Pelodiscus sinensis: one gene and its partner. The protein of the gene in region 1 interacts with the protein of each later gene in a pairwise test. Links are inferred from orthologs where the notes say so. Each region holds a gene or a part of one and is shown on either strand. Other genes may lie near its edges. The genes, in order: DRAP1 and NFYB.

Region 1 (9,217 bases):
TTTATTAAGCCTGTTTACACCTCAAACACCCATTGGGCAGCTGGGAGAAAAACATTCAGCAAGGAAGACCCAAACCCTCCAGCAGCCCTTTGCTCCATCCTCATCACCAAGAGTCCTGAGAGTTCAGAGAAGATCCTTCCTGCTTCCCCTTCCCCACCAGAGTGGGTCAGGATTCAATATGATCAAGACCACAGGAGAGGCATTTTAAAGACAACTTTTACATAGAGCTGGGCACTAACTCTTAGATCAGGTAGGGGGGCTCCCAGGCTGTATCTACCCCCCCCCCCCTTGACTGTTAAACCCTCCTTTAGGACATTTAATAAACAGCACTATTGAGGGGACTCATTGCACAGCCCTTTTCCAGGGTGTGTACAGGTGTACACAGACTATGTTCTGAGAGTTCTACAGGGAAGAGGCTCAGTGAAGGGCCTACATAGAGTGTCAATGGAACACCTGCGCCTCCTGTTTTCCAAGCAGCATGGTCCTGTTTCTGTGATCATGAGAAACCTTAATGGGCCCTGCATAGACTCGACTGTGGCTTCTTTCATGTGGCAGCTCTGTCCACCAAGGGCTGCAATGGCTGGAGAACCAGTTTCCAACAACCCTCTCAATAACATCAGCCAGCTGCTGCCATACAAGCAGAGCTTAGGCACATGGCCTCTACTAAGTGAGCTCCATCAGATTAGGCTTTCCTAAGAGACAAGCTGCTGGGACCTGTGACACTTTACAACATACAAGCAGAACCGGAAGGTGGTAGCACAGAGTTGAACTCACAGCCCTAGCTCTCAGCTATATGGTAGCACAATGGAGTTAAGCTTGCCAAAGGGACAGCAGCAAACCCCATGGGCTTTGGGAATATAAAGAGACAGTATCAACTGGTTGCAACAACTTCCACGGTCTTCTATCCGAGTGACTGCAGCTCAAAAGAGCAGAGGGGTCTTTCCAGGGAAACTGAGAGAGGACCATGTTAATACAAGCCTTGCTTGTGCTGGAGTGTACCAAATGTGGCCGAGAATACTGCAAGATAGTCACCTGTCATCTTTAAGAAGCATGACCAGCAGACACAACATCTCCCAGCGGCCAATGCTCCTCCCTGCTGTTTGACATCTCAGCCAGCTGCAGATTCTAGCAGAGCCTCTGCCCTTTGAAGAGGAAGACTATTACAGAAGCATGGAACATTACATGCTGGGCTTGTAGTCTGTGTGAGGCCTTCAAATGACTCTCACGTCTATGTACATCAAGTGCAGGCCACCTCCAACAAACCAGAGGAAACCAGTTTCAAAGCACAGTTGGGAGGCATTGGTGCCAGATGCCCATATTGGAGAGGGGAAAGGGGGAACTGCCAGACTGCGCCCCTCTCCCCAGCTAAGTCACCTCAGTGTTGCTGACTTTGTTGATGATACGGGAGCGGCGGGGGATGCACTCTAAGTCGAACTTGCTCTCATAGATGGTGGGGCAGAGGTGCCAGCGATTGTCCCGGTAGATGCCTAGATAGGTATAGACATCAGGCTTGTAAGAGAGCAGGCACTTGACGCCGGTTCCCCGGATGGCAGCATCCGCATCCATCACTTTCTCCTCGTCAGTGAAATCATCTGTGTAGATGCAGATGACATGCTTGCGGTCCGAGCTAGGATAGCAGGGGCTGACCTTGGCCACCCCAAAGCGCCCCTCCAGCACTGAGCGGGCGATGCCACTCCAGGCATGGTCCACTTTGAAGCCAGTGTCCAGGTGCATCAACCACTTGCCAGTGAGGACACGGTGGTTGAGTGCCAGCTCACGGATAGTGTTGAAGGTGACATGGCGCCCACTGATCTGAAGCCGCTCCCAAGCCTCCTGCAGCCCCACCACGTCACCTGACTCTGGGCAGTAATTTGGGCCATAGATGGCAATCCAGCCCACAGGCTCAGTGCGGTGCTCAGGATCTCCAAAGCGAGACACCCGTGAGGGCTGATAGGTCTGCAGCCACTCCTCAAACTCAGCCCGGGGGGTCTTTCGGGCATCAAACACCAGCCAGGGGTCCATGTCAGCTGCCATGGACTCAGCGGCCAGGTGCTCGGCCGAGAAGGCCCCTTCCTTTCCTGCATCCCCATCATCCTGGTCTGACATCACTCACTGGCCTCTGAAGGAGAAGAACCTAGGATGGAAGGGTCAAGGAGATGGGAAGCAAAATTATGAAGCACCATCTAATCCAATCTCCACAGCAGAGCCCAGGATACACTCAGCTGCTAGTGTCCATCCCTGAGTACCCTACCCAGTAATAACAGAGATTCCTCTACATCAGTGTTTCCCAACCTATGGGTCAGGACCCAAATATGGGTTGCCATTACATTTCAAAAGGGTCGCCAAGTGTCTTCGCAGGTGGCTCTGCCCCCTCGCCTCCCCCTGTTCTTGAATTGCCTTGGGTCACCAAGTATTCCTGAATTGTCAAAAGGGGTCTCCATCTGGAAGAGGTTGGGAACTGCTGCTCTACATCCATTAGTACTCCAGTCTTCTACAGGACTCTGGCCACTGTGGATGGAACCCCCATTACCTCCCATGTCCCCAATGCAGGACTATGCCCTGTAGCCCATCCCATTGTCCTCTGTTGATTGAGGCACCCAATTAGTTCCCATACACAAACCAGAATAATTTACCTGCTGCTCATGGGCTGCCGGAGAAGTGAACACAATGCAGGATAGGTATTCAAACGCAAGATGAACGATCAGGGCTGAGAATGAGCAACGCTAACATAAAGACCACATGGAAATTCAACTGAGGATTTATCTGTTGCTCTTGGCAGGCTGCCTACTGTACGCACCCCACAAAGATGCTGCCTTGACTTTCCTATTAGAGAAAAATCAGGTTTCACTGTGGATAAAGAGCAGAGAACACTAAATGATCCAGGGAGCCCACAAACACGCCTATGCCGAGGGGTATAAACTTAAGATCCCCTGACAGTGTCTTTTAAACTTCTCCTAGACCAGCTGGACTCAGCTGCTTCCATACTGGGACCCTTCCCCATATAGCACAGCGAGAGCACAACGCTTTCACTACACACCCCCTCATCTACAGAGACGAGCAGCATCCAGTCCCTTGCCACAGCACAACATCGGTTAGAGGATCAGGACTCGGCTACCCTGGGAGATGCTGCTGGGGGCACCGAGCGGGACACGCGGCTTCAGGAAGCGACTCGGGGAGTTCGTTTCATTAACCATCTCGCAGACGGGACCATGTGAAACGCCGAAAGGGGGCGGGACTCGCCCTGCAGCCGGCCCGAAGCACAGCTGGGAAAGACACCAGGAGTCTCCCCGCCGCCCCCAAGAGCCGGGGAAAGGACCCAGCCCCCCGCTGCCCAGCCCCCAACTGGGAACGAGACGGGCCATGCCCCCGGCTGCACGGGGAGGAACCATCTGCGCGCGGGCCGGGCCTAACGCCCGCGGGTCCCTCCACGCCCCCTAGCGCCTCTGACCCCGGGCGGGGCCCACCCCGAGACAGCTCCGCAAGCGCCCGCTCCGCGCTCACCCTCACCAGCCCCCTCCCGCGCTCAGCTCCCGGCCGGCCCCATCCTGCGGCGCGCTGCGCTCCGCCCACGCGACGGATAACGGCCACTGGGGCGGGGCCTCGGCCTCACCCGGATGTGGAAACGCGCGGAGCCGGGATGTGGGAAGGCTGAAGCTTGAGTGGGCGGGGCTAGAGAGCGAAAGAGGGTGGGAGGGGCCTAAAAGCCACCAATCCACTCAAGCCCCGCCCCTCGGCCGGTGACTGTGTCTCCAGCCCAGGCGTTCCGGTGTCTCTGGGCGTGGGAAGTTTCGTGGGGCCTGGCTCCTGCCAGGAAGCTGCAGCTGGTGTTGCGGTGGCCCCTGTCAGAAAGTGGAGCACGGCCTCCCCGAGCCAGTGGCGGGCCCGTAGTGTGACCCTGAGCCGTGTTCTGGGGGGTAATGGGTGTCCAGGACGGGTAGGAATGGTGTCTCTAGCCTCTGTTGGTCAGGGGTTGGAAATGGACGACCGGAGAGGGATCACTTGATGACTCCCTGTTCTGTTCACTCCCGCTGGGGCATCTGGCATTGGCGGCTGTGGAAGACAGGACACTGGGCTAGATGGACCTTTGGTCTGACCCAGTATGGCCGTTCTTATGTCCAGTCCCCTCTGGTGTAGAGCACAGGGGCCCTGGCCCCCTCACCCGGTGATGAAATAGATCCACTTCTAGGATGGGCACAGGGGCTGTTGCTACAGAGCTCCCTGGCCCAGCTTTCAGATGTAGCAAGGGAGGGCCCATGGCTGCGAGGGGGGGAAACAACCAAGGACGCTAGTGCACAAGCACTCCCTCTGCCATCCGTAGTGCAAGGAAGACCTCAAACCCCTGGAGGGTGATCTGCATATAACTCAATCTATGGGCTTAGGGAGAGGGGGTAGCCTGAGACCCTCCATAAGGCAATGGGGAGGGCATAGGAACTTCACAGACCCCCATCTCTGGTACTGGGGGCTAACCTAGGACACCAGGGATCTTCCAGGAGTGGGGAGTAGCTGTAGAGCAGGCAATCCCAGGGAACTGTGACTCTTGGAGAGCATACCTGCTTTCTCTGGGGGTGCTGGGAGGGGGAGGCGGAAAAACAGGTGGAAGGCACCAGTGGGAAGGAGGTGGACAGAGCAGAGTTGCGGGCCCCACGTCCCGGTTCTGCGGGGAGGATGAGCCCGAGACAGGAACTGCTGTGAAGAGAGGGCGCCAGTGCGAGGGGCGGGGAGGGGGAGACGCAGGGTGGCGTTTGTGCTGGGGTGGCCCTGCGCTGAGTAGGGTGCTTTGGGGGGGAAGGGCAATGGATGAGCGCTGGCGTGTTCCGGCGGCGCTAGGACACTGGCGGCCGGGGCGGCGCAGGAGACGCAGGGAGCCGGAGGGGCGGGGCGGGGCGCAGTGGGGCGGGCTGGGGTCGCTGCTGCCGCTGCTGGAGTCTGAGCCTGAGCCCCGCGATGCCGAGCAAGAAAAAGAAATACAACGCGCGCTTCCCGCCGGTGAGTGCGGGCCGGCCCCGGGGCCTCCGCTAGCCCCCGGCCCGGCGTAGCGTCCCCAGGCCGGCCTGCTTGTCCCCCGGCACCCCGCCCTCCGGGCCGGCCGGCCCCCCCATGCCCCTTAACTCCTCGGGCCGTCCTTACCTTCTGTGTTGGCCTGGCTCCACCCGGCATCCTCCCTAAGCCCCCCCCAGCACCAGGCCGGCCTAGCCCCCCCTTCCTCCGATACCCCTTAACTCCCCCGGGTCAGTCTAGTCACCCTGACACCCAGCTCCCGGGCCACCTAGTCCCTTTTCTGATACCGCTTAACCCCCTGGGCCTGGCCTAGCCACTCCCCCATCTCCTTCTCCCTTATCTGCCCTCCACCCTTAACTCCCCTGAGCCCAGCCTAACTCCCTCCATGGGTTCCCCCTAACCCCACCCCGGTCTGTCTTCAGCCTACCACCTTCTCACACCCCCTTCCCCCCTCTCCAGATCTTCCAAAGTTCTGGACCCAGCCTAGGTCAGCCTGAGCCTCTGTGAATGCTGCATCCTCGTCCACACTGGCTTGTCTGACCTAGCTCCCTCCTTCCTCCCTGGAGTCCAGTCCACCAGGCCCAGTCTTCATCCCGCTGCCTCTGCCTCCCCTTACCCACCCCAAGCTAATATTGTCTTCCTCTATAGTGCTCACATAGAGATACTCCTGCAGCATCCTCTTTTATGTGCCCCTCATACTTTCATTATCCACTTCTCCCTGTAGTGCATGCCCACCTGCCCCACTCAAGACTTCCTTGCTCTCCCATAAGGATGTACCTGCTTCCCTCTATTTGGATCCCCTCTGTCCCATATTAAGGATTTAAGCATTGGGCAATTGACTAATTGGATAGTCGATGCATTTTTGCTACACTTCAAAAGCAAAAGCACCAAAGCCTGGGATCAGTGGGAGGACTCCCCTGATGATCCCGGGCTCCATGCAGCGCTGCCGCTTTGAAATGCTGCGAGGAGCCTCACATCAGGTTCCCTGTGGCATTCAAAGCAGCAGCAGCACCACATGGAGCAGCTGACCCGGGGCTCCGTGCAGCGCTGCCACTTTGAAGTACATCCTTCTTCCCCTCCCTTGCTGCAACTATCTGATACAGGCAGCAAGGGAGGCAGGGGGAAGCAACTAGTCCGCTATCCTGTCAACTATCCAATAAGCATTTCCTTATCGGATAGTCGACTAGTCCTTCACATCCCTACCCCATATAGAGTTTCCTTCCAATACTGCCCACTGCTAATCCCCAGAAGGATGCCCCTTCCCTCTGTAGCCCTCCATTTGAATCTTCCACCTCTTCAGGGATCCTAGGATAACTCCCTTCGTGAGGAAGCCTCATCTTCCCTCCCTGACCTCTTTGGTCAAGGCCCCCAACCATAAAAGGGCTCTACACACACACACACACACACACACACCCCTTAACCGTAATGAAACTTGGCCCCCGTTCAGAGGTTCTCTTCATGCACCCCCTCCTAAGGGATGATGAATCTCCCCCCAATCCTTTGGGACCCACAGCTCTGGTGGGCCAATGGGGGAGAATGTGTGGTTCAGGTTATTCTGTCTGGTGGGATTATGGTCTTTCAGATGAAGGGGACTCAAGTTTCCTGGATTCTATGCTTGGTTCTGGCTGGGGAGTGGGGTCTAGTGGGTTACAATAGGGATGGGGTTGGGGGGAGGAGCAGGCAGCGTGCACAAGAGCCAAAATTCCTGGGTTTTAGCCCCACCAGTTCCATCTATGCAGTCCTATTCAGGGTGGAAGGGACACTTCCCTCCGCTCTCCTTTCTATAAAATGAATTAATTCTGGACCTGCCTCTCCTGGGACACTACTGTAGTACCTGAGGGCTTCAGTGAAAAGGGGAAAGATTGTTTATTGATATGGCAGGAAGAAACTGCTACTGTATGAGAAGGGGATATATTTACTGATTGTATAGGTCTCCTTTCCCCATGGAATTCTCACCACAGTGTGCTCGCACCACAAAGCCCTCCTTTTCTATCTTTGTCACATCTTCCGAGTTGGGGTAGTATGGAAAATGAAAGCTGCCTGATCAATTTCACCTCTTCTCAGTTTCAGTTCCTCCTTTCTTATGTTGGGCTCCCTGATGCCAATTGGGGAACCTTCACCATCCTGACCACCACCACAAAATCACTGAAATCGGCATTACCATCCACAAGTGATTAAAAATCCTTCATCAGATCCTAAAAACATGATTTAAAAAAGAGACTCATTGGGAGGTGCAAGGGTTTTTTTTATTTGCCTTTTGCTCTGGTGGGAAGTAGGGATGTTAACTTTAGATTAATTGGCTAATTGAATAGCTGATGCAATTTGCATCGACTATTTGCTTAGTCAGTAAGGGCACCTCCGCCTTTGAAGTAGCAACAGCCCTAAAGTTGTTGCTACACTTCAAAGGCAAAAGTGTTGCAGGGAGCACGGGGCCAGGGGGGGACTCAAGCAGTCGCCCACTTGCCCCATACTCCCCATGACGTTTCAAAGCGGACGCACCTCCTGGAGCCCGGGGTCAGCTGGGGACTTGGAGTCCCCAGTTGACCCCGGGCTCCATGCAGCACTGCCACCTTGAAACACCAAAGGGAGCCTGGTCTCAGGCTCCATGAGGCATTTCAAAGCTCAGCGCCACTTGGAGCCTAAGGTCAGTGGGGGAGTCCCCAGCTGACCCCAGGCTCCACGCAGCGCTGCGGCTTTGAAGCACCCCCTCCTCTTCCCTCTCTCGCTTGCTGCCTATTTCTGATAGCAGCAGCAAGAGGGAGAGCAACTAGTCGACTAGTGTGTCGTCTATCGGATAAACATTTGCTTATTGGATAGTCGATTAGTCATTCACATCCCGGGTGAGAAGGACCTTTTAAGGGTCAAGATGTGATTCTATCTGCATCTCTTGAATCCACAAGCTGGGGATTTTAGAGTGAAGTTGACAGTAAGATTGTGAGAGCTGGCAGCACTGACTCTAGCTTCTATGCCCCTTTGGTTCCCAAAGCTAAAGCTCTGACTTTGTGGTTGGGGCACCAGGTGAAGTTGGAGATCTGGGTTCAGTGCCTGGCTGTACTACATGTTCTCCCTGTGACCTTGAGCAAGATATGTCTCTTGGTGCCTCAGTTTCCCCATCTGTAATAAAATTTTCTCTGTTTAAAGAGTGACTTCATAGGGCAATGACTGTCTCACTTTCAGTCTGTGAAGCACTTGGTGCAGCCAGGGCCCTGAATTTGGGCCAGGATCCATGCAGTGCCCAACATAATACGGGCCACAGTGTTGAGTTAGAGTCTGTGTGGTACGTGGCACAGTCGAGCCCCCCAGTCTCATGTCAGGCTCTGTGCAGAACTTGGCACGGCGGGGGGCCCCTAATCTTGGGTTGGGATCTGTGCATTGCCAGGCACAACAAAGGAGCTCCCAATCTCAGTTCAGAGTCTGTGCAGTACCTGGCATGCCAGAAAAGGCAAGGCTTGTGACTTAGCTTTGATCCTCGCTATTTTACACCTGGGTTGTGACAGCTGACACCTTATGCTTTGCCCCCTTAGCTGGATGCAGGCCCCCTGACATGAGGGTGAGGGGCAAAGGGGGCAATCGCCCCAGGGCCCAGTGACTCAAAGGAGCCCAGGGCTCCCAGCCACCGCTGCTGATACTGCAGCGACGTAAGCCCCAGGCCCTTGAAATCGCTGCTGGAACACTGCTCCGTGAGGCACTGAGGCCTGCTGGAGGCCCAACACCATGCATGTGGCACTGAGGACTTGCTGCCTCCAGCTCTGCCCCTTGTGGGGGCATGGAACTGGGTTCCCTGGAAGCTGTCGGCTCCCATGGCTGGGTGTAGGGGATTTTATTGCCCTGTGACATGGATACAAACATCCTTTGGTTTCAGCATGCTCCAGTCCAGTGGAGGAAAGTGTTGATTTGTGTCTGGAGGGGTGGGTGAGTTTGAACCCTAGCTTGCGAGGGGAGACGGGGGCCGCTGCTGTGTTGCTTAGGCACAGGGAGGGTTTCCAGAGCCATAACGGGCAGGAATAGCTCTCGGTGAGACTACCAGTGCCCTTGGAGCTTGGGCAAGCAAGGAAGGAGTTGACCTCTCAGCCTTGGCTGTCCCAAAGGACCTAGTCACCAAAGAAAGGAGCCAGTGACCCATGGAATCTCTGCTGGAGTGACCAGTTCCCCGGGGGCACAGCATGTGCTGATTGTTCTCAGTGAAGGGTGGCCTAGGGCAATGTTTCCCAATTGGTGC
Region 2 (9,217 bases), on another chromosome or scaffold:
GGAAATTAATAATTCTGTTTTCAGAGCAAAGTTTGAATATTGTGCTGTAAATAAAACAATAGTCACTGAACAACAAGGAGAAAAGAAAATATTGAATAACTTCTATAATACAATGGTTTCTGGGAACACAGCTGAGAGGACAACTCAGGGCAAATTGCTTAGAAACAGGGCTACTTACAGCCCAAGACTGTAGGGCACACCAACACAGTCACAAAGAGCACTTCTGCTTGCCACACTGGCCAGCAAGAAGTCACTTAAGCAATCCCCTTAGACACTCCAGCTTTTCCTGTGACACAACCAGTACCACACATTACATGGATAAGAGGTTATGAAAACAAATCTCACCAAATCCAAACAGGTTCTTCTAATCCGAAAAGACCAGGCACATTCCCAGGTCAATTTATACCTTAGATCTTCACTGTGCCAATCCTTTAGAATCTAAAATCTAGAGGTATATTAATAAAAGAAAGAAAAAGTTGAGAATAAAATTGTTAAAAGAAATTTTATATACACCCATTACAAAGTTCCTGGTTCAGGCTTTTAGCAGAGATGGAATAAACTGTTATCTCAAAAGTCTCTGGAGTACATTCTTTGTCAGGATGGTCATCAGTTGTTCTGGGCCCTTTGGTCATAGCAAAGATGCTTCTGAAATGTTGAGCTGGAATGAAGACAAAGGTGGATGGATGAACCTCTAGGTTTTATAATCTTGCCCATGTGGAGAGAATTCCACTGTTCTTGCTGTGTGAAGGTACTTCACAAAACTGAGTTTGTCACATGCAGGGCTGGACCAAGCCATTCCAGCGCCCCGGGCAGACAGTTTAATTGCGCCCCAGGTTGGGGGAGGGCGCATGCGCAGCCCCACCCCTGCATCAGCACGGGGTGGAGGGCACATGCACAGCCCCGCCTCTGCTCGGCACATGGGGGAGAATGCACAGAGCTGGCGGCGGCAGGATGCATGTGCCGCTGGCGTGCAGCCTGGGGCCACCTGGGGCAGGGCGAGCCTGGCCGTGCAGGGCCCCACAGGCGCGGGAGAAGGGCGCTGCTGGCCGGCGCTGCGGGGGTTAACGCAGCCCCCGCCCCAGGCGACCGCTGCAGGGTGGCTGCTGGGAGCTGCTGCAGCCCACGATCCAGGAGCCAGGCGTGCGGCGCCTGATGGCAGCTATAAGGGGCGCTGCATGTCCCTTACAGCTGACATCAGGTGCCCCCCATAGGCTGGCGCCCCAGGCAGCTGCCCGGCTAGCCAATGCCTTAATCCACCCCTGGTCACAAGAGCAAGTCACCTGTCCGTGTCCTTTTTAGGCAAGCTGCCTACCTGCTTGACTGCAAATTTACAGCAGAATTCCTCAGTTGTGTATTGGCCACATTTATGGTTCATTGTTCATATTCACTTGACTATATGCACTTTCACAATAGGTGGGAGACTCCTGCTAATATCTCTCAGAAGCAAACATTTAAAATACAAGTACATAGCCAAAACTTATAACTTCACATATAAAAATCATACACACATATGAATAGTATAAACAGAATCACAAAATATAAACTTTCAATAGACACCTCACTTGACCTGCTTTGATACAAAATTTGGAGCACACTGCGGGGGTAAAAATATTCTGTATGTTCACATCAAAAATCCAGTAACATCACAACTTCTTATTAAGCTAATCCTGGCACTGACTGAGACATGATTCCTATGGAAAAACAGTATGTGATTTTGTAATTAAAAGATGTATCATAGTGCATGAACAAAATGGGAATAAATTAAAATTGCAGAGGCAAATGTGTGGCATTTCCTAAATTCTGTGTGTGTGTGTGTGAGAGAGAGAGAGATATGCTGTATTACTGGTACAAAACATTGTACTTTTCCCATTGTGCTCTGGAAAAAGCTTTGGCTCATTTCAACAGAATAGTGTAGTACTTTTTAAAAGACAGTAGGATTTCATCCACAAATATTTCCAAGTTCAAAGTAAAAAAATGTTTGGACTGTCTTTTAAAGCACTGTATTCTTTCAATATCATTCATTTTATAACTAACTACTTCCTCACTGAAGCTTTCCTGCTGTGACTTGTTCATAATGTACATGTCTCAAGTCCCAATCCTGTTCCCATTGAAGTTAAAGTGAGTTTTACTATTGACTTAACGGGTAGTGAAATCTGGTCCTAACTTTAGTATCAAAGATTTGAGAAACTCTGTATCTGAGTCAATGTGTGCGATGCTTACTGATTTATTTATGAAATTCCTGATTGCGGTGACAGAACCCACACAAAGGTCTTAAGGCTGCAGAACAAGGTTAATAGTGTGTCCTAACAGCAATATATACCAAGTGATAAAACAACTTCAAAATAAATAAAGAGGAAAAATACATTCCCAAGTGCTGTAAAATTATTGACTGTTTCAATAATACTTGCAAAACACGTCCCACATCTATGTATAAATGGTGGTAGGGAGAGACAATATAGAACCTACCTTATTGCCTCTAATCATGAAACCCGCTATCAGAAAGCCCCCATAGTGGAGAAAGGAGAGCTGAATAGGGTTTACTTCCTCTGCCCCCACTGAAATCCCCTATTAGAGCAACCCCAGTCTGAGGTGAGAAGTGGTGCTGGAACAATTTGTATAGTGAGGGTGCTGAGTAGGGGTGACTGGTAAGGAGAGCCACTGGCCACATAACTGATCCCCCTACCTTGGGAAAGGGCTGGGACAATCCTGCTCCACCTCAGCCTCTGCCTCTCCCTGCCCTTGCTCTGCCCCTGCCCTGTCTTTCCCCCCCAACCTACTTGTCCAAATGATGCTGCCCTCACCTCCCCTTCACCATGCAGGCAGCAGAAGCTGGAGCTGCCCAGCAGTCTACTCTGCCCCCCACCTGCCTCTGTGCTGCCCTCTTTCAACTTGTTGCGCCCTGCTTCTCTGTGGCACCGGGAAGTGGAGCACCCTAGGGCTGGGGCTCCCTGCTTCCCAGTGTCGCCTGTGTGGTGAGTGTATGTGTAGGTGGGTGACCCCTGACTACAGGCCTCTGTAATCCCCCAGATCCTTACCATTCATAGGATGGTTGGGGCAGCCACTGTGGGACCCCCAAAATTGCAGGGCTTGGGATAGATGTAAGCAACTAATCGACTATCCGATAAGCAAAAGCACACAAGTCAACTAATCCCTTCCCCCCTACTTGCTGCCTCTATCACAAAGAGGCAGCAAGGGGGGAGAAGAGGAGGTGCTGGAGGGAGCCATCTTAAAAGCTGGTTTCCCCCGCACCAGCTCTATGGGAGGGGGCAGGAGTGCAGCAGTGGCCAACTTGGAAATGTACAAGAGTCTCCCTGAGGCTCTTGTACATTTCAAAGCTGGCACCTGGAGCCCCAGGGCCAGCAGGGAATCCTTGTGGGTGCTTCTGCTTTCAAATGCACAAGAGCCCCCCCACTGGGGTTCCTGTACATTTCAAAGGCAGACCACAGAAGTTCTTCTCAACTAATGGAATAGTCCATGGAAATCCCTATTGCATTAGTTATGAAATCGAAATGTAACATCCCTAGCTTGGAACAGACGCCCCAATTCTTCCTCTGGGCCCGGACAGTGAACCAAACTGTAAGCCCTGTGTATAATGGACAGCACTGCAAGCCAGCACCCCTACTTCCAGCCCCTATTGGAGAGAGTGTGTGTGTGGGGGGGCAGCGTGTCTAAGAGGACCCCACAAGCTTCGCTGGGGGCCCAGCGTATAAAGGCGGCGGCGGCGGCGGCGGCGGGAGGGAGTCCGTGCGGCGGGAAGAGCCGCGAGTGGCGGGGCGGGGGCGGGAGGCGGCGCGGAGGGAGGGCAGGCCGGCTGCGGGAAGCGGGGCTCCGCGCTGGGACTGGTTCCTTCGCAGCCATTTTCTGTCCAACCAAACAGCCGATTTGCGGAGGGAGCCAACCAGGGCCGCACTGGAGGTTTGTGCCTGGCTCCGGCCAATGATTGGTAACCGGTTCCACTGCAGGCTCGAATGAAATGTCCGTCTCCCTCCCCGGGCCCCGGCGCCGCCGCCGCGCCGCCGCCCAGGGCACCAGGAAGTGGGGAGCGGAGCCCGGGCCCCGCCAGCGCCCGCTCGCCTCTTTGTGCGGCCGGAGCAGCGACAGGCGGCTGGGGGGAGATGGGGCCGGAGCGCCCCCCCCCCGCCCCCACTTTCCCTCCCCCCCGCCGGGCTGGGCACCGCGGCCCCAGCTCCGGCTCCATTTTGTGGGCTCGGGCGGCGGGAGCTGCGCCCGCCCGGCCACACGCGGGGCAGGGCCCTTGCGCCCCCACGGTCGCCTCCGGGCTCCCTGGCCGCAGCGGGTTGGGCGCGGGGATTCCCCCCCCTCCCCCTTAAATCAGACGCCGCGGCCCCTTTGCCCTAGAGCAGCGCGGCGTGGGACTGCGGGATGGGGGCCGCCCGTGGGGCTTCAGGCAGGGGGAGGGGGCGACCTTTCCTGCCCATCCCCGGGCTCCTCCGCCTCCCCCCTGCTGGTGTCCGAGCCCCCTCGGCCGCCTTCCTGGACTCGTGGCTGGGAGGCTGGTGCAGCATCTCCGTGAGCCTGGGGTCAGCGCTAGGACAACCCGGCTCCTCGCTGGCGCTAACCTGGCAGTCCTCTCCCCGGCCCAGATCCCTTGGAAGTCTTCAAGGAGCTTTAGAGTGAGGCCCTAACTCCCCCCAGGATGTGGTGGGAGTCTGAGTAACCGGACAGGCGCTTCAGATTCTCCAGTAGGGAGGCAGTGGCTTCTATTTTAGAGAGGAAATAATCGGGTTTATTCTCGCTCTATTTTTATACACATGCATAACTTCATAGACCAAAGGATGGTATCTTGAGTCTGCTGGCAAACCTTACCCTTAGGATCAGAAAGTAAGTGGTGAGAAGAGCGGCCTTTCCAATCCTAGAGATGTGCCTTCCAGAACTAGTCATTTCAGTGCTAATTGAGACTTTTGAACAAACTGATAAAAATAAACTTTTGTAATTTTCGGAAACTTGATGTAAATCAGTAGACAAGAAAGGGTGTCTTGTGAAGCCCATTGGAGCTTAAACTTTAGGGGATTTTGGCTGTGGATGCATTTAGTGCCTTACAAAACTTGCAATATTTTCATGATATTTACTTCATAAAGCTTATTTAAATGTAAAGATTTCCCTTTTGTGTTTATCACTTAGGCACACACTGTTCAATTGCATTAGAAGGTAGTGAAATTTATTAGGCTGATAAATCTGAGAGCCATGCAAAAGTAACCAATAACAAAAGTTGACTAACCTAGATTTGATTTTTTTTAATTGACAAGGTGGGTGAGGGAATATCTTTTATTGGACTAACTTCTGTTTGTGAGAAAAAGCAAAGTTCTATAGACTGCCTTGAGAATAAGTTGGAGGAAAAACCCATAAAGGTCCAATAAAACATCAAAAACTAGTACTGTATATGACTTGTCAAGCTTGTAAATTTTGCAGACCACTCCAAAAGTGTAAAACTGCACCAATTTTTTTATCCATGAACGCTCATGATATTGTATATTTTTGTTAGTTTCTAAAGTGCCACAGGGCTACTTTTTAAAAAGTTTCTATTATTGCCCTCTTTTGCAGCCAAGTTGCACTTAAATGCAAGCCCTTGCTATGTGGCAGGGTTGTCTAGATTCAGTGAGGGTATTCTGTTATATGATGATCTGATAAATTAAGCTGCCCTTCATCCTTGAATGTCTTATTTTATTCAGAATGAACTTTTCAAAGTTAATTGGGATGCAGAATGTAGCATGGTGTGTTGTGGTGGTTGGTTTTGTTTTGTTTAAAGCTAGCTTGCTTACTTCACCTTTTCTGACAAAAGAATCAGTAGCAAAATGGAAAGAGCAGCTCAGGGTATTACCCACAGAATAGTTATCCATGCAAGAACTGGATTCATGTGCAACTTGTTAGAATGAATTTCATGTACACTTCATCGCTGTGCCAGAAAAACTCTGCTATATCACATATTATCCCTTCTGTATGGAAAACTTGTAATCAGGAAAATCCAGGATGAACTGATCCTAAATCATTAGTTCCCAACCTGGTATATCAACCACTCGATGGTTTGGAGAGAGCTGTCTGCTTATTGTAGTGCTGATGACTGGCATTTTGAGCTGCTAACTGTACTAAAAAATAGCTAAAAATAAATATCCTAGTGTTACCCTTCAATATCAATGGCAGTCATTGCCATATAAATTATATCTGTTTGCCAGCGATAGAGGAGGCTGATTGTGGATAGGGGAAGTTATTCTACATGGCCAACTGGCAACAGGACTCTAAGGAGATGTGGGCTATGAAACAGAAATTGTTTGAGTCTTTTCCTTTATTAAAGACAATATAACTGTTTTAATTAGGATTTTAAAAGGAAGAATTACTAATCTAATTTTCATTTAATTTTAAAATTAATTGGTTAGTATGAGTTCTGAAACTTTTTATGATTTAAGCAGTGAGCTGGTTGCATTATTTAGACTGTTCATTTTTAATTACCTGTTGTAACTGTGATATTTCGAAAGTCTATCTGCTTAGGATTAGTGCTAGGTAAAATAGATGAAAGTTATTTACTAATTAGAGTTCATTAAAATGTATTAGCCCCATTGTTAAAATTAAACTGAATATCATATTTGGTATTTGCTGAAAATTATCTTGAATTAGTCTTTGCTTGAGGTGAATAAACTTTTTAATAAGTGTAACAAATATTTTTAAATCTAAAGGAAGGACAAATAGCCTCTGCTCTGGCTTAAAATTATAACTAATTTATGTGGGAAGAGCCAAAAAACAGATCACAATATAAAATGAAAAATATGTTTTAAGTAAAGGTACTAGGACAGTTCTTAAAATAAAATGTTTTCACGTCATTCAGTTAATAAACTGTCTCCATTCTTGTGCTGATGGAATGAATAGGACGGAGACCTGCTGCTGTTGCCTCCTCTTGAGCACTGCTTCTTTGTCTCTGCAAAGGCAGTAGAAATGTATAACCTTTTTAAATAGCCTGTATAAGCTCTGATTCTTTCCAGTTCACATCTCTTCTCCCTCTCCTGCCTTCCCTACCAAAAAAAATCCAAAAAACAAAATGCCCAAGAGAAATCATTGAAGCTGTGTATGATTCTCTCTGGTGATGACCCCACCCCCCCATCACTCTCCTAATAAGCTGCTTGGCTTAGTCACTGTTGAAACAAAAACAACAAATTTATGTTAGGGCCCCTCCATCTGTAACCATGCTAGTGTATAAATTAACGGACATAAGGGGCTTCTGTTAGAACGTGTTTAATGAATAAGGTGGGTGAGCTTATACCAGTGGCTCTGAGGGCCATATAGCCATATATATTGTGTGGATGCAGTTCATGAAACGCAGAGCTGTAAATGTGGCTCACGGTGGTAAATAGGTTGAAAGCCATTGGGAATAGGGATGTTAGCTATCGATTAATTTAATAATCACGTAACTGCCCCAAATCTGAGCAGTTACATGATTATTCAATAGTCCCCGGGGATGGGGGTGGCAGCCAGTGTGCTCGAGCCACCTGCCCCCTATGCTGCTGCCTCTGATACAGCAAAAGCTGCCTGGGGTGGGGCGCTGAGCTCCCTGCAAACAGAAGCTGCTCTGCCATCCCACGAAGCAGCCTCTGTCCACAGCGAGCAAGGACCTACCACGGACAGAGGCTGCGCTGGCATCCTGCTCCTCCCCCCTCTCCTTTTCCCCCCCCCTCCCCCTCCGCCTCTGATACACAGGCAGCAGTGCAGGAGAGAGGCAGCTCCACAAAGCCAGTGCTCAGGGGGAGCCAGCGTTTAAACCAGCTAACCCAAGCACTGGGTCCTTACATGTTCCCTCCCTCTCTCTTGAGGGGAAGCAGGCAGCTCCACAGAGCAGGCATGCACAGGGAACCAGCTGGCTCCCCTTGCGAATCAGCTCCCACTTGCCCACACCTGCGCTGCTGCCTCTTGAGAGAGCCGGGGGGCGGGGGAGCAGATTCACAGGATCTGGGGCTTGTGGGGAGCCAACTACACTGGCTTCTGCCTCCTCCCGCCCTTACTGCCTCTGATACGCAATTTGCGTATCTTACTTAAAAATAGCTTATTTTGAAATTTGGTGCATCTTTACAGTACCAAATTTTGAAATACTGTGCCTTTTTGAGACATCCCTTAGCCCTCGAGGAATGAGTGTTATCGGGATGGCAAAATAGCACGCCTGTTATTTTGAAAAATATTTTGAAATATCAGGCAGCTTGTTAAGACACAGGGTAGCTACATCCTGAAATAGCCGTGCAGTGTAGACAAACCCCAAAAGACTAGAGATGCTTCAGATGCAGGAAGAATACAGGGCCTCCATTCACAGGTTGCAAACATATAAAGACTTCAAACATTTTTAATAAAAGCAATTCTGTAGAAATGATGGAATAATTCTTTTTCCATCCCATACATGCTCATTGAGGTGGTGTTTGCAAAAGGCAGTTTCCTTTTTTTAAATTGATGGAGTAAATTATTCAAGCTCTTGCCTAGTGGTTATATTACTAAGACTTAACGGTCTTCACAATTCAATGAATAAAGATAAAGGGGAAACCTCAGGATTCGAGTTAAATTAATGCAGCAACTGAAGAGGATAGAGAAAGCTCAAGAAACTCATTCTAGTCCATTCTCTGCCTGTGCAGGACTATTGCCTATATTAGTGGGGCTTTTTTTTCTAGTTTAGTTTTAAATGTGTCATTCAAGGCTTGCTACTTAACTTTCCGTGGGAGATCATTCCAGTTTTACAAATCATACTTTTGGGGAGTTCCCCTGTTCTTAAGGCAACATTTTAATTTCCTGTTTTTCTTAGTTATGCACTATGTATTGTACTGTGCTAAATTTCTTCTTTCTTCGGTATTCACACTTCTCAAAAACATAGGCTTATGTCCTTTTGTAGTTGTCAGTGAGCCAAGCCACAAATATTCCTTACTCTTTCCTTCTAAGTAAATCCTATATCCCATTTAAATTTTTATGATACTGAGATGTTCTGAACTGAGCAGCCTCTGTCCTCAGGGAGCTGGGGACAACCCCCACAGACAGCGGCTGCTGCCATACCAGCTGTTTTGCAGCAGTTTCCCCTGCCTCCTTTCCTCCCTCCCCCTACATTGCAGCACCCTCTGTCTGCAAGGAGCTTGGACCTCCCATGAACAGAGGCTGCTGCCACCCCATGCTGCTGCCTCTGATAGCAGTGCAGTGTGCCGGGGTCTCTCCAGGAGTGGGGCTAGGAGCTCACTGGCTA

Evidence for each region.
Region 2: the proteins of DRAP1 (region 1) and NFYB interact in binary tests that used the Homo sapiens proteins (3 or more experiments, as listed by UniProt). The two-hybrid records come from large-scale screens. The link is inferred for Pelodiscus sinensis from reciprocal best matches to the Homo sapiens genes DRAP1 and NFYB.

What each region holds. Positions count from the first base shown.
Region 1 is NC_134721.1:32,599,556-32,608,772, reverse strand, and holds the start of DRAP1 (dr1-associated corepressor), read left to right. Parts: upstream 1-4,822; 5' UTR 4,823-4,944; coding exon 4,945-4,986; intron 4,987-9,217. Other genes in the region: C11H11orf68 (UPF0696 protein C11orf68 homolog), read right to left, coding at 1,366-2,106. UniProt on the Homo sapiens protein: The association of the DR1/DRAP1 heterodimer with TBP results in a functional repression of both activated and basal transcription of class II genes.
Region 2 is NC_134711.1:98,179,544-98,188,760, forward strand, and holds the start of NFYB (nuclear transcription factor Y subunit beta), read left to right. Parts: upstream 1-4,082; 5' UTR 4,083-4,842; intron 4,843-9,217. UniProt on the Homo sapiens protein: Component of the sequence-specific heterotrimeric transcription factor (NF-Y) which specifically recognizes a 5'-CCAAT-3' box motif found in the promoters of its target genes.